Linked DNA regions of Arabidopsis thaliana. The protein of the gene in region 2 interacts with the protein of the main gene of each other region in a pairwise test. Each region holds a gene or a part of one and is shown on either strand. Other genes may lie near its edges.

Region 1 (6,493 bases), on a different chromosome or scaffold from region 2:
AGGTAATGCTATACACTCTTATCAAGCTCTCATTATCGGTAATGCTATACACTCTTATCTAGCTCTCATTATCTTTCGTTGCAAACAACATCATACCCTCTAATCTAGATATTCAGTAGTCAGTATTATCAATATTGGTGCATATAACAATGGATAAATATGCCATATTCATCTATACAGAAATTAAATTAGGTGTAACACTGGTACCAAGCTTAGTTCTTAAAGTTTATAATTATCACTACTGCAAGGGATAAATGAACTTAGAAGAGGAAAATGAGTAGCAACTAGCAAGATAACGATGCGATGCTGGAAGGAAAGGAATGGTTACAGTAGTTTGAAATAAATACCTTTATCTGCTGAAGGCATAGGGAAATGAACTCCCATACGCCAGAATGCGTAAAGGAATGCTGACAAGAATAAGAAAGCCCCAACAGAGGCACGCTCCCTTCTTACACCTGAAATGTTATTTTAACTTGAAAAAATTACAGACAGTTCACACAAAATGCTGTAATATGCGGCAGCGAACAATAAAGTGATGCTTTCTCAAATTCATTTATCTCCATCTAATTGAACTCATGAGTGTTTATAAAAGAAGCAACAAAGCCAGAGATAAGGATCAAGATTTTTCAAGATATAAGATCAAAATGATGGGCCAAAGACTGTTTATACACAGCTGCACAGAAGTGTTCTCAAAGAAATCTCAGTTGAGTAGCAATTATATAACAAAAATAGTTTCAGGAGCTCCTAAGAAACTTGCAATGAATTAACCAATTATAGTGATTACCTTCTAAACAAGAAGTGATAAGAGCAAAGAAAATTCACATATGAAATAAGGCTTACCACTATTACGAAGCATCAAATAGCAATGGTAATACGGCAACATGAAAACCAGAAGAAGTATCAAACAAAAAAGATCCACCTTCCAGTTTATCATCCTTGCCCTGCAAAATCATCAAAAGATCGGTCCAAGGCTTAAAACTCTAAATTAATATTCCAACTAAACAATTGCTACATAATGCCATGAATTCCCCCTCCAATATAAGTATTACGTACAATGACAAACACCTCAAAAGCTCAATGATATAAGCATCTAGTATCAAGTATCAAATTTCCACATGACATAAAGGAATAAACAAGAGAAGCTAGCTACCACACAGTTTATATACTCGATTACATTACACATACACCAAAAAAATTGTCAAGTAAAAAAATTCTTAAGACAATAACTCCATCAATCTACACTCAATCTCAAAATCATTGCCAATTAGGTAAGAAGTCAACAAAATTAAGCAATTGCAAACAAAGGAGGACCAAGTAAGTAACACAATCTAGAAGACAACAAATAAGTAAAGTTTCCAAAAACCTCCAATGCCAGAAAACACCAAAACTAGCTAAATATCAAAAACTACAGAGTGGATTACTCGAGAAAAGACTTACTCTCTAGAGAGAACAGGTATGATCTCGAACAAAACGAGCTGCAATAGATTACAAGAGAAAGCGAAGACGACACTGAAAATGATTTGAACCAAAGCTCGTTTCTCTTCATACTCTTTGTATAATCTCCGATTAAGAAACCATAAACCTGCCCATCCTAAGAGACTTAGTGAAGCTATCACCACCGTGCCTTCGTATATCGCCCATCCGTAACTCATCGTCGCCAAATTCCAGATCTCTCTTACTTCTCGAGAAAAAACCTCAGATCTGCAAAAACCTCATGGCGATTCAACACCAGAGCTTCTGTTGTACGATTCGATTCGAATTTGATCATTTATGAAACAATTAAAAAAAAAGTATTTAAGAATACCTTATTTATTTTTGGTTAGGGTTTATTTGGTTTAAACTCTAATCAACAACAACCTCATCAACTTCATCATCACCACCACCACCATGCGACTCAACTCGAACTCGCAGAGAGGAAGGCGTTATTAAACGCTAACCAACCATTGAGCTACGGAGTAATGTGAAAGAAACTGCACAACAATAGTGTTTCTATCCTTTTTTTTTGTTTATAGGTTTTGGCGTCTAGTCTAGTGTTGATGATAATTTTAACTCCATTTTCCGACATGTTTTCTTATCTGGTCGATTGATTTTTTTGTTTTTCTTTCACTTTTACATATATACACGAAAAATGATCGATTCATTAAAATTGTTGTTTAGAAGGCTTGTCCAATCTTACACGTGTTACCATATATAAATTTGCGGGAAGTGGGAAGGGAAAGATCGGGATATCGATAGTTCATGATAAATCTTATAATTACGGGATCAAGATAAATATTTTTTTTATCATTAATAAAAAATTAATATTTGTGTACATTTTCTTATTGTTAGATAGAAAATTTAATATTATCATAAATGTAAAGAACTTGCTAATCAAGTTATGATTTTTGTATAAATAATCCTATTAGCTAATGAATAAATAGAGAAAACCTGTATTATTGCTAAAGTTTCCTCCAAACTTATCAGACACCAATCGATGATGTATAATATACCATTTTTCATAACGTGATTCTATTATTTTTACCATTCACAATATTTATCATACATTTATATTTGATTTTCATGTGTATGTTATATTTGATGCATGTGGAAAAAATAATTCAAAATTAAAAAAACTACAAAACGTTTTTCTTATTATATCACAATTATTTAACAAAAAAAAGTTTTGAGCTATTTTGTTTATAATGTTTTTATGCTTTTCAATCCTACATTTCACTATCAGAAAAATGAGGCCAAGTTATAAAAATAAAAATAAAAACTAAACCCAATAAGCCCATTAAGGCCCATAAGTCAATACAGCAAAAACAGCTCATCTTTGCTAAAACGTAGATTACTGATTTAATCTACCGGAATCGAAAGGCAATACCAAACTTCCGGTGAACCGGAATCGGATCCATTTGACTTGCCGTAGAAATTAGGAAATTGATTACAGTGTTCTTCGAGAATGGAGAAGAAGGAGATGGAGAAGTTGTGCCAAAGGTGCAAACAAAGCTACACAGATCTTTCAAACGAAACTTCCTCTTGCCGTTTTCATCCTTCCTTCTTCGTTTGTCGTCGTCACGATGACCAGAAAAGGTTATGTCTCCTACAAACCCTAAATCTATTCACTAATGAAGAATCTCACATCCCAAGCAGCTTGATTCGCTAATTTATAATGGCAAAGCACAAATTGTTGAGATGGGTTTTGAAAGCCATCCACTTTATTGTATTAAGGTTCTGGATCTATAGCTAATTTAGTTAGATACCTTAGATTCTTTGTAGCCAATAATTTTGAAGTGATAGATGATCATGATCTCAGTTTAATGGCTATTTGTGGGTCAAAGGTCATGTTTTGGTTGATTTGAAACTAGCTCTTAGCCTTCTTTGCAGATAATTAGCTACTGTTGTATTTGCCTTGCCCATTTCAAACTCTTTAGGCATAATCATGAAGCTGTTTAATGATTGTGGTCACTCTTAAACGTCGAATACTCTTAACCACTGAGGATAAAAAATTATCTCGACAAGTTTTCAAGCTGTCTAGTGGCCTACACTTTGTTCTGCTAGTTGAAAAAATGGTTTAGTCGACGGTTAATAGCATAAATAAAGAGTGGTGAAAAATACAGTTTAGAGATTTATCATCTGATTCTATGTTGCGTGTTTTATCTTGGTAATAAACTTTGGACTAGGAAGGAACGTAGGTGTCTCTGTTCCGTTATTGGCTCCTTTGGTTATTTACTTACTTCCTCTGTTTGTGATTCTCTCTGTTCCATGCATTGTAGTTACCCACATAGCATAGACTTAACTATCTTTTGTTGAGCTTTTATCGTTATGTGCAACGAATGAGTTTATTTTGGTGTTTATGGTTGTTGGTTTTGGCATTCATATTCTTGCTGGTACCTGATATTTGTTATTTCATTTTAATTTTAAGGTGTTTCGAAACTGAATATATATTTATTCCAAACCATGTTTAATCGACTTGAGTATGATGCATCTGTTTGATTTCTACTTTTTACTAAGAAGTGGAATTAACTAGAACTTGTTTTTTTTAATCAATAAATGAAGGTACTATGAATTGAAACCAGATGATCCACCGTATGCTGCCAAGTTCTATGATTGTTGCGGGGCAGAGGATCCTAATGCACCAGGTTGTGTCACAAACCCTCACATTTCATATGATGACTGATGTATGAGTGAGAGCTCTCATAAGCCTTTTTTTTTCCATAAAAACATCATGTAAATAATCTTAAATTATTGTAGCCTTCTTAGGAGTAAAAGACTTAGCTTGTGATCTCTCTGCTGGGTACTGTCTTGAACCACTTCTTGCATTGCACACAGCTACAGAGTGAGCTGTTGTGTTACAGCTTTTGTCGGTTTTGTGAATAGGAGTGTCAGAATCATTTGACGTGAGAAAATTCCGGAACGACTAACGATTTTATGTTTATTTGTAAGGAATGTTCTTGTTTCTATGGTTGCTTTAAAAAGAGTCAAAACTTTATATTCTTTTTATGAACACCAACAACAAAAATCTAAATCAGACATATAGGTTAATTAACTAATGCAAGTAAATGTGGAAAAATTTACAAAACAAATTTCAGAAGATCTAGAAGTAATCTTGAGACAGTACTTATGAGAAATAATCTTGCACTATCATCCCTCTTTTCTATGAACACCAAGATTTCTGATGCACTTATAATTTCTTATTTTGTGTCAACAATAGATATCCAAACAAAGGTAGAGAAAACATTTGAATGTGGACAAATTATAATTATATTAATAAATTGACTGTCTTTAAAGTTTAAACTAAGTTTAGCAGATCTCATTAAGAGAAAAAAAAAATCAACATGATTGAGTAGAGCACATGAAGTCCACATGACACAACTCCAAGATCTCAAACTCTCTGGTCTTAAATCAGATCGTTAGAGAGATTTATTCTCACCTCCATTATTAAATAAAGCCAACTTGTTTTGGTCCACTTCACTCACAGCTTTTATTATTCTTCTTTTTTCTTTTGTCATCATAATATATTACTCCCCAAAAAAAAAAAAAGCAAAAGCGGTGAGAAAGAAAGGAGAGAGAGAGGGTGACCACTATGGAGACAGCGCAACCCATTACTCATTATTAGTCTCTCCTACCATTCTTTTGCCTAAAGTTCAAGACTTTGTGTTCTTCTAACAAGACCCTTAATCGTAAGTTCAAGACTTTGTGCTGTTGTAGTCCTGTAAGAAGAAGAAGAAGAAGACCATGAAATCGATCTGACTTCTCGCAGCAATGCTGAGGATTTAGCTGCATTTATTACTCTTTTTTTGTCAATTCAATTTCTCTTTTCTTTGAAGCTCTTCTCTTGCAACAACAATGGCATCTAGAACCAAGTGAGTACTTTTAGTCTTTCTTCTACTTTCATTACAAGTGGATCTGATATGATTCTTGATTTTGACAGTTGGATCTGTTTCTTGTGATGAATTGTTGAGTTGATCATTTTAATCCTAATTTGATTGGAATGTAGTTGATTTAGTCTAGTAAATGTAACTGAATTGATTTGAGTCTAGTAAATGTTTTGACTTTTGGGAACTTAGTTGATTTAGTCAGGTGAAAAGTTATGATTTTTAGCAACTTAATTACTCTTGTTTTGGTAAAATAATGTTAGATCCACAAATTTAAAACTTTTTTTTATTGATGTTTAGTGTAACATTGTCTTGATTCATGTTTACTGTAGAACTGGTTTGATGGAGACTCCTCGTAGTAAACCATCACCACCACCTCCTAGACTGAGTAAACTCTCTGCTTCTAAATCCGATAGCAATTCGGCTTCCCCGGTGCCAAATACTCGTCTTTCGCTTGACCGTTCTCCTCCAACCGTTAACTCAAAGCCTACTCCTGACCGTCGACCTTCTAGGATTCCTACACCCGAGGCAAGATACTGAACTCTCTCCAACTGATATATGAATCTTTTTTTGGTTTTCATTAGCTTTAAAAGACATTGATGATGACCATATTCTTTGACATTTTCAGAAAGTGCATTCGCGGTTGGTAAAAGGAACGGAGCTGCAGACACAACTGAATCAAATTCAGGAGGATTTAAAGAAAGCTGATGAGCAAATAGAATTGCTCAAGAAAGATAAAGCTAAAGCTATAGATGATCTTAAAGAATCCGAAAAACTTGTTGAAGAAGCCAATGAGAAACTTAAAGAAGCATTGGCAGCACAGAAACGAGCTGAGGAGAGTTTCGAGGTTGAGAAATTCCGAGCTGTTGAACTGGAACAGGCTGGACTTGAAGCTGTTCAGAAAAAGGACGTAACTTCAAAGAACGAGCTAGAGTCTATTAGAAGTCAGCATGCGTTGGATATCTCAGCTCTCCTCTCCACCACAGAAGAACTCCAGAGGGTAAAACATGAATTGTCTATGACCGCTGATGCTAAAAACAAGGCGCTTAGCCATGCTGAGGAAGCGACGAAGATTGCTGAAATTCATGCTGAGAAAGCTGAGATTCTTGCTTCTGAATTAGGGCGGTTAAAGGCAT
Region 2 (6,540 bases):
GAACAAATATCTTTTGCACTTCTGAAACGGTTGCGTCTTTTTATCCTAATTTTCGTTAAAATATATACGTTTATGTTTTTACGGCTGTTTTTTTTGTCACATTTTTTCGTTAAAATATTTATGATATTTTTTTGAATGTTATTTTGTTTGACTACAATAGTATCTTTTCGCAGATAAATGGTTGCGTGCGTCTTTTTATCGCAATTTTTTGTTAAAATATTTACGGTTGTGGCTTTTTATTGCATCTTTTCGTTAAATTATTTATTGTTATCTTTTTTGACAGTTATGTTTTTTCAACTACAGTCATATCTTTTCAGTTTAGGGTTGTGTTTTTTTATCGCATCATTTTGCTAAAATATTTACGATTTTTTTTTTTGATAGTTATATTTGTTCAAAATACAATTGTATCTTTTCAGTTTGCGATTGTGTCTTTATTGTTGCATATATTCATTTAAAGTTACGTCTCTACATTATATTTCTTTGCATTTCTTTTCACTACTTTCCGTATAAACAAAGTTGTTTATTTAAATGTTTATGATTTTTGAACTCTATATATTTGTCTTTCTTCCTAACCATATTTTGTTCATTCACACATATTATTTGTTTTATGATGAATTAAAAAATGATAATCTGGAAAATGGCTCCAAATTCTTTACTCTCTAAACTATTTATAAACATACTTACATACATCATTTTAATATGAAAGAAATTGCTCTAATTCTTGATCTAACCAAAGTTTTTTGGAATCTAATAGCAATAACAATCTCAATAAATGTCTTTTGCATTTCTAAACGGTTGCGTTTTTACCGCAACTTTTCATTAAAATATTTAAAATTTGTTTTACGGTCGTGTTTTTTTTGTCAAATATTTTTAAAATATTTATGGTTATGTTTTCGGACAGTTATACTTGTGTAACTATAGCCGTATCTATTTGATTCTGAATGGTTGTATCTTTTTATCGTAACTTTTTATTAATATTATTTGCGGTTGTATCTTTTTATCGTTATTTTTGTTAATTGCATATTTTGGTAAAACTTATGTAATAATTCGAATATTTGAATTATTATTATAATAATTTAATACATAAATATTAGGCTTGGGCGTTTGATTATGCTGTTCTAGCCTCTTAGGATCCATAAGGGAACCAAAAAAGTTTCGGTTCGGTTCAGATACTTAGAAAGAGAGCCGACAAATTACCAAATTCTAATAGATATCGGTTCGGTTTTGATCATTTTACTCAAAATACCAAAAAAAGAAACGAAAAATATCCGAAACTTTTTTACCAAAATAATAATGGTCCAAAATATTAAAAAATTAACAAAACTTTTTTGGGTGATAGGTTTTTTAAAAATGTATTGGCTTAGATGTAGTTTTGTATAGAGTTGACCAAATATTTTTTGGTTCGATTTGGGTATCCATAGATATCCGTTTCGGTTTGCGTATACCGTATATCCAATATCCAATATCCAATGGATAGTTTGACTGAGATTCAACAGGAGTATTTAGTGGTATCTTGATACGAACCGGAACCCTTTTTCAGCTTGGTTTGGTTTGGTTCTTTGGTTCCGGTTTTTATGCCTTGATCGTTCTAACTTCTATCGTTAAGTGAAGTAGTGGTTACTTTTCAAGAAATTTTACAAAGCCGAAATACTAAAAAATTTGGGGTCGATTGGTAACGACTGTTATATTTGGCTATACAGACTTTGACTATAGAAATTTTGGTTGTAGAGAATTTGGCTGTAAAGACTTTGACTTTAAAAACTTTGGCTGTTAAAGTATGATTGGAACTAAAAACTGTAGAAACTGTTACTATTATTTTTACAATATATATTTAGAATTGTGAATTATTTGAAAATGAGTTTTGTGATAATATACTAACAAAATTAATTTATTATAAGTTTTAGAAAAATACAAAATAAAATAAATAGATAAATATACTCAAATCTCAGTAAATAAAAAATATATTTAATCCATATAAAGATCTGATTAGGTGTTTTGGATCAATGAACTATCACTGTGATGCAATTGATGCAAAAAAATAATGAAAACTGGATCTCTAAAAAGTGAAAATAGAAAGATGATTATTAATTAATCAAAATATTTTTGAGTTAAATTACTTATTGATAGAGAAATTGTTTTTCATTTGTCATGGAGAAAACGAAAAGAAAAAAAAAAGAAAAACAGATTTTATTTTATTATTTGTTTTATAGCCCAAAAAGTCTCACATTGTGACTTTAAAAAACTGAACCTGAATTGAATAAAATAAAGCAGTTAATTTATTTTCCATCATCCGGGAGTGTGAGAGAGTTCTCTCTCTTATCTCTCTAATATCTTTTAGAGAGAGAGCCACATCCAAGTTTCTTTTGATGTTCCACAAAATCCATTAACGTCGTCCAGTTTCTTAACGCTGGCTTTGAGTCTGACATCCACCGGCTTCTCATGCAGTAGTTGGTCAGCTTCTTTCACGGCATCATCTGGCTTTGTTAGCAGAGATGTCCGATCCGCCGTCCGTCAATGCTTTTCACAGCGTTTGTCAGCTTGCTTCTGGCATCCGTCGGCTTCTTAAGCGACGGTTGGCTGGCTTTGGGGTTTTGTTTTTATTTTCGTTTTCTCTCGATTCATTTTGCTTTAGTTTGTTTGGATTTAGTTTGCGTTTTAATCCTTTGATTTGACTGCATAATTCTCTGATCCTTCTTTGTTTAAAGAGCTTAATTCGATTTTCAAGCTAATTTTCTCAATTTTAAAAATCGGATTTGAAGTTGCGGATTGGAGTTGTCGTTGGATTGATTTTAACGTAATTGAGGCTAATTTCTTCTTACCAAAGCATGTGAATCGTTTTATCTTTCCTGTTTTTTAGGTTTAATAATGGAAGCCTTGTCAGCTTATCTTTTAAGTCGATGATCCCGGAATTCATGAACTGCGTTTATCCATGGAAGATTTCAATTTTGCAGATCTAACGGCGAAGTTTGTTTGGGATTCTCTGAATTTGGTGGTGATGTTCATCGGATATTGTTGAGCCTTGATGTATTGATGCTCGTTACGACTTTTTCCGGTGACTAAGAATTCCTTTCGGTTGCAAACTATGTCGGCTGACCGACGATGACCTAAAACTCCGACGTCTCACGTGTTATCATCATTGTCTCCTTTCGTGACACGTGTATCTGTGCTGGACATGATCGACTCTTCCTTCAACCAGTGGTTTCATGAATTGTTGGGCTTATGTTTGTAATGGGCTTCTTTTTGCCGTCTCTGATACCGGGTTTGAATAACCGGTTTGAGCGTTTGTCTCTTTGTACTTGAAGTATTGTAAGATGTTATGCTTTTAATAAAAAAAACTTTTATGTGAAAAAAAAAAAAGAATAAAATAAACCAGTTACCTCAGATTCCTTGGATACTTCAAAAATGTCGGTTTGCCTATGAATCATAGACTTTAAAAGCTTTTAAATTAAATAAAGTCCTTAAAGTGGGATTAGTAAATTTTTGGCTTTTAATTTTTGTTCCAATCAACCCCTAAGACACTCAAGAAAAGAAGAAGAAGCATAAAAAGAGGCCTAAATGCCCAGAGAATTAAACAAATGGGCCTTAATATATAAACAAACATCAATCTCTCGCCGTCAAAGGTTACATCTATCGCCGTCAAAGGTTCCATCTATCGCCGCCGCTGAGACCGCCACTTTAGGCCGTCTCGTCCGCAATCTCCGTAACCAACACCACCCGCATCGCCTGGTAAGCTCGATTTTTTAATCATTTCGATCTCATATGATGTCGATCTGTTCAATCTTGCGAATTCGATCTTTATTTTGTTCTGAGATTTAGGGTTTCACGAATTTGTGTTCTAGGTTTTCTGGCTTAATCATTTTTATTGTTAACTGTTCTGATTGGTTCTTATGCTTTTGGTTACACAAAGATCTCGACTTTTTGTTGACTCTGTATGCAAATTTGTCAAAAGTCAAAACGTTGTTACAGAAACTCTCTTTCGTGCTTGTGTTTATGTATGAACAATAGCTTCGCTATTGGGTTTGTTGATTTCACCACACTTGATTAAATATGTATATTCTATTGAAAATGTGGTCAATCTTGGCAATAAAAATTGAATTGTTGGTTTAGAATGTGGTCGTCACTCGTGAGTATAGATTGGATTAGTGGATCGAATTATTAAGTCAGTGGATTGAATTGTGGTATTATTAAATTGCTAGATTTTGGAGTTGGTTTCATTATTAAACCAAAGTCTAATGAATGTAAAGTTGAATTTATGGAAAAGTATTGGTTATTTCCGGTTAAGAATGGATTACTTGAATTATAAGTTACTTCATGACCTGCCTTGCTATTAAAGTAAAAACTGGTTGTTACACGAACACAGTAGAACAATGTATTAAAAACAGCCCTTCCCTCTCTCTGTCTCTATATATCTGTCTATATCATAGTTTTATGAATTGATTTTTGTGGGGGATGATTTTGCAGCGAATTGATCGGTGAGGTGGAAGATGGAGTTTTGTCCCACATGTGGGAATCTGTTGCGCTACGAGGGAGGTGGGAGTTCGAGATTCTTCTGTTCCACATGTCCATACGTTGCCAATATCGAAAGACGGGTTGAGATAAAGAAGAAGCAACTTCTGGTTAAGAAATCTATAGAACCTGTTGTTACTAAAGATGATATACCCACAGCTGCTGAAACAGAAGGTATTTTCAGTCTCTGGTCTTCTCTTATTCTAAATTTAGAACTGTGATTAGTTAGTTAGTCCATGCTCTGTTGATTGGTCGACTAAATTCGTAAATACTTTAAAGTTGATTGGTGGAAATCAGTTACATAATTACTCATGTTATGGAAAGGGCAAAAACAATAATGCTAAAGTGGTATTACATCATTCATGGTATGCAAGTGCAAAAACACTTGGGGAAAGAGTAGAGTAGACTTTTTGTTCAATGACTTTCTCATGTTGGGATTGTTTTGTTTTAACAGCTCCATGTCCAAGGTGTGGCCACGACAAGGCGTACTTCAAATCAATGCAGATTCGTTCAGCAGATGAGCCAGAATCAAGATTTTATAGATGCTTGAAGTGCGAGTTCACTTGGCGTGAGGAATGAACCGATGATCATCACCTTCTCTGTACCCGCTAATTTTGCAATCTTCTTTGAGTTTGTTTTACCATTACAAAGTTTGTAGTTCCTCTATGTACTCTGGTTCTTTCTGTCTCAGAGCTCAAGAGTTTCTGTATTTAAAACAATCGATAAAATTTTGGAATATTGTGCAAAGTTTTAATTTTTGAGGTGAAGAATGTAAGCAAATTGATCTGTTTTGAGATTTTTAGTATCAAGACTGCGATGTATTTGTTATTGCATTGGTATTTGACTTCTTCCTCTTCCTCTGTTAACGTAACCTCCAGATTTCAATTTCTCACATTTCTTCGTCTTCTTAGCAAGAAGATGTCTAAGCAGAGGAAAAAAACTGTATTAGCCACCGTTTTTCGCAAGTCATGGTACCACTTAAGGCTCTCGGTGTGCCATCCCACTAGGTTCCCGACTAGCAACTAGTTCTGAATAGGCGAAGCTTTACGAGTGGCAGCTCCGGCAAGCTAAACGTATGGGACGAATAGCTAGCTCCACTATCGACTTTGGTCGTTCTTGATCCAGATGGCAAACGGATCGGGTATGGTGCTACTACTCTCAACGCCATTTATTCTCTCGCTCGCCATTATGAGAAATCGGGTGTTGATCCTGGTCCCGAGATACACATTGTGTTGACAGGTTAGATTATTCATACGATGGAAAGTATTCCTCACACTTCCTTATCTTGCAGCTCATGACCCTGATAGTCTTGTTCCTCTCCTTTTTGATCATATTCTTGCTACCGCTTCATGTGCAAGATAAGCTTTCAAAGACAACGGTGATTTCCTTTTTTAAGCTATGTAAAACAGACAAGGATGTGTGGATGCTGATTTTTGAGTTTCATTTGTGAAGGTGGATTATTTATTGGAGACGTCCTTCCTTGTTTTGATGCTTTTAAAATCACTCCCCTAAAGAGGCAGCTTCCATAGTTACTGTGCCTAACACTCTCGATATTGCCTCCAACCATGGTGTTATTGTCACATCCAAATCTGAGTCTCTTTCTGAAAGCTATACAATCAGTTTAGTCAATGATCTTCTAGAGAAGCCTATAGTAGAGAAGCTTGTCAAGAAAGATGCGATCTTACATGATGGACGGACACTCCTAATTAACACTTGGATAATATCTGGGGCAGAGCATGGTTAGACCTGATCGCTCTTGGATGCTTGTGCCAACCCATGATCTTAGAGCTTATTCCTAAAGAATGACATTGTAATTCACACATTACTCTTCTTGAAGTTGACATATTGTAAATGCAAAATATCAATGCCTTTAAAGAAAACAAAAACTAGTTAAAGAACTGCAAATATCACATGAAACGGAAACCATCAGTTTCTTTTCACATTTTTGTATCTCTTTTCTGTTTCATATTACACAACAATTCCCACAAGCTTTTTTGAGCTTTATTTTGAGTTCTTCATTATATATAATTACTA

The links. The genes of interacting proteins can lie anywhere in the genome.
Region 1: the proteins of AT4G07950 (region 2) and AT1G65000 interact in a two-hybrid assay, tested with the Arabidopsis thaliana proteins (one large-scale study listed by BioGRID).

The regions. Positions count from the first base shown.
Region 1 is NC_003070.9:24,144,215-24,150,707, forward strand, and holds AT1G65000 (F-box only protein), read left to right. Parts: upstream 1-2,710; 5' UTR 2,711-2,941; coding exon 2,942-3,072; intron 3,073-4,038; coding exon 4,039-4,159; 3' UTR 4,160-4,587; downstream 4,588-6,493. Other genes in the region: GTG1 (GPCR-type G protein 1), read right to left, coding at 348-455, 841-941, 1,438-1,652; AT1G65010 (WEB family protein (DUF827)), read left to right, coding at 5,329-5,345, 5,690-5,885, 5,986-6,493.
Region 2 is NC_003075.7:4,794,426-4,800,965, forward strand, and holds AT4G07950 (DNA-directed RNA polymerase, subunit M, archaeal), read left to right. Parts: upstream 1-3,415; 5' UTR 3,416-3,726; intron 3,727-4,461; 5' UTR 4,462-4,484; coding exon 4,485-4,680; intron 4,681-4,960; coding exon 4,961-5,085; 3' UTR 5,086-5,370; downstream 5,371-6,540.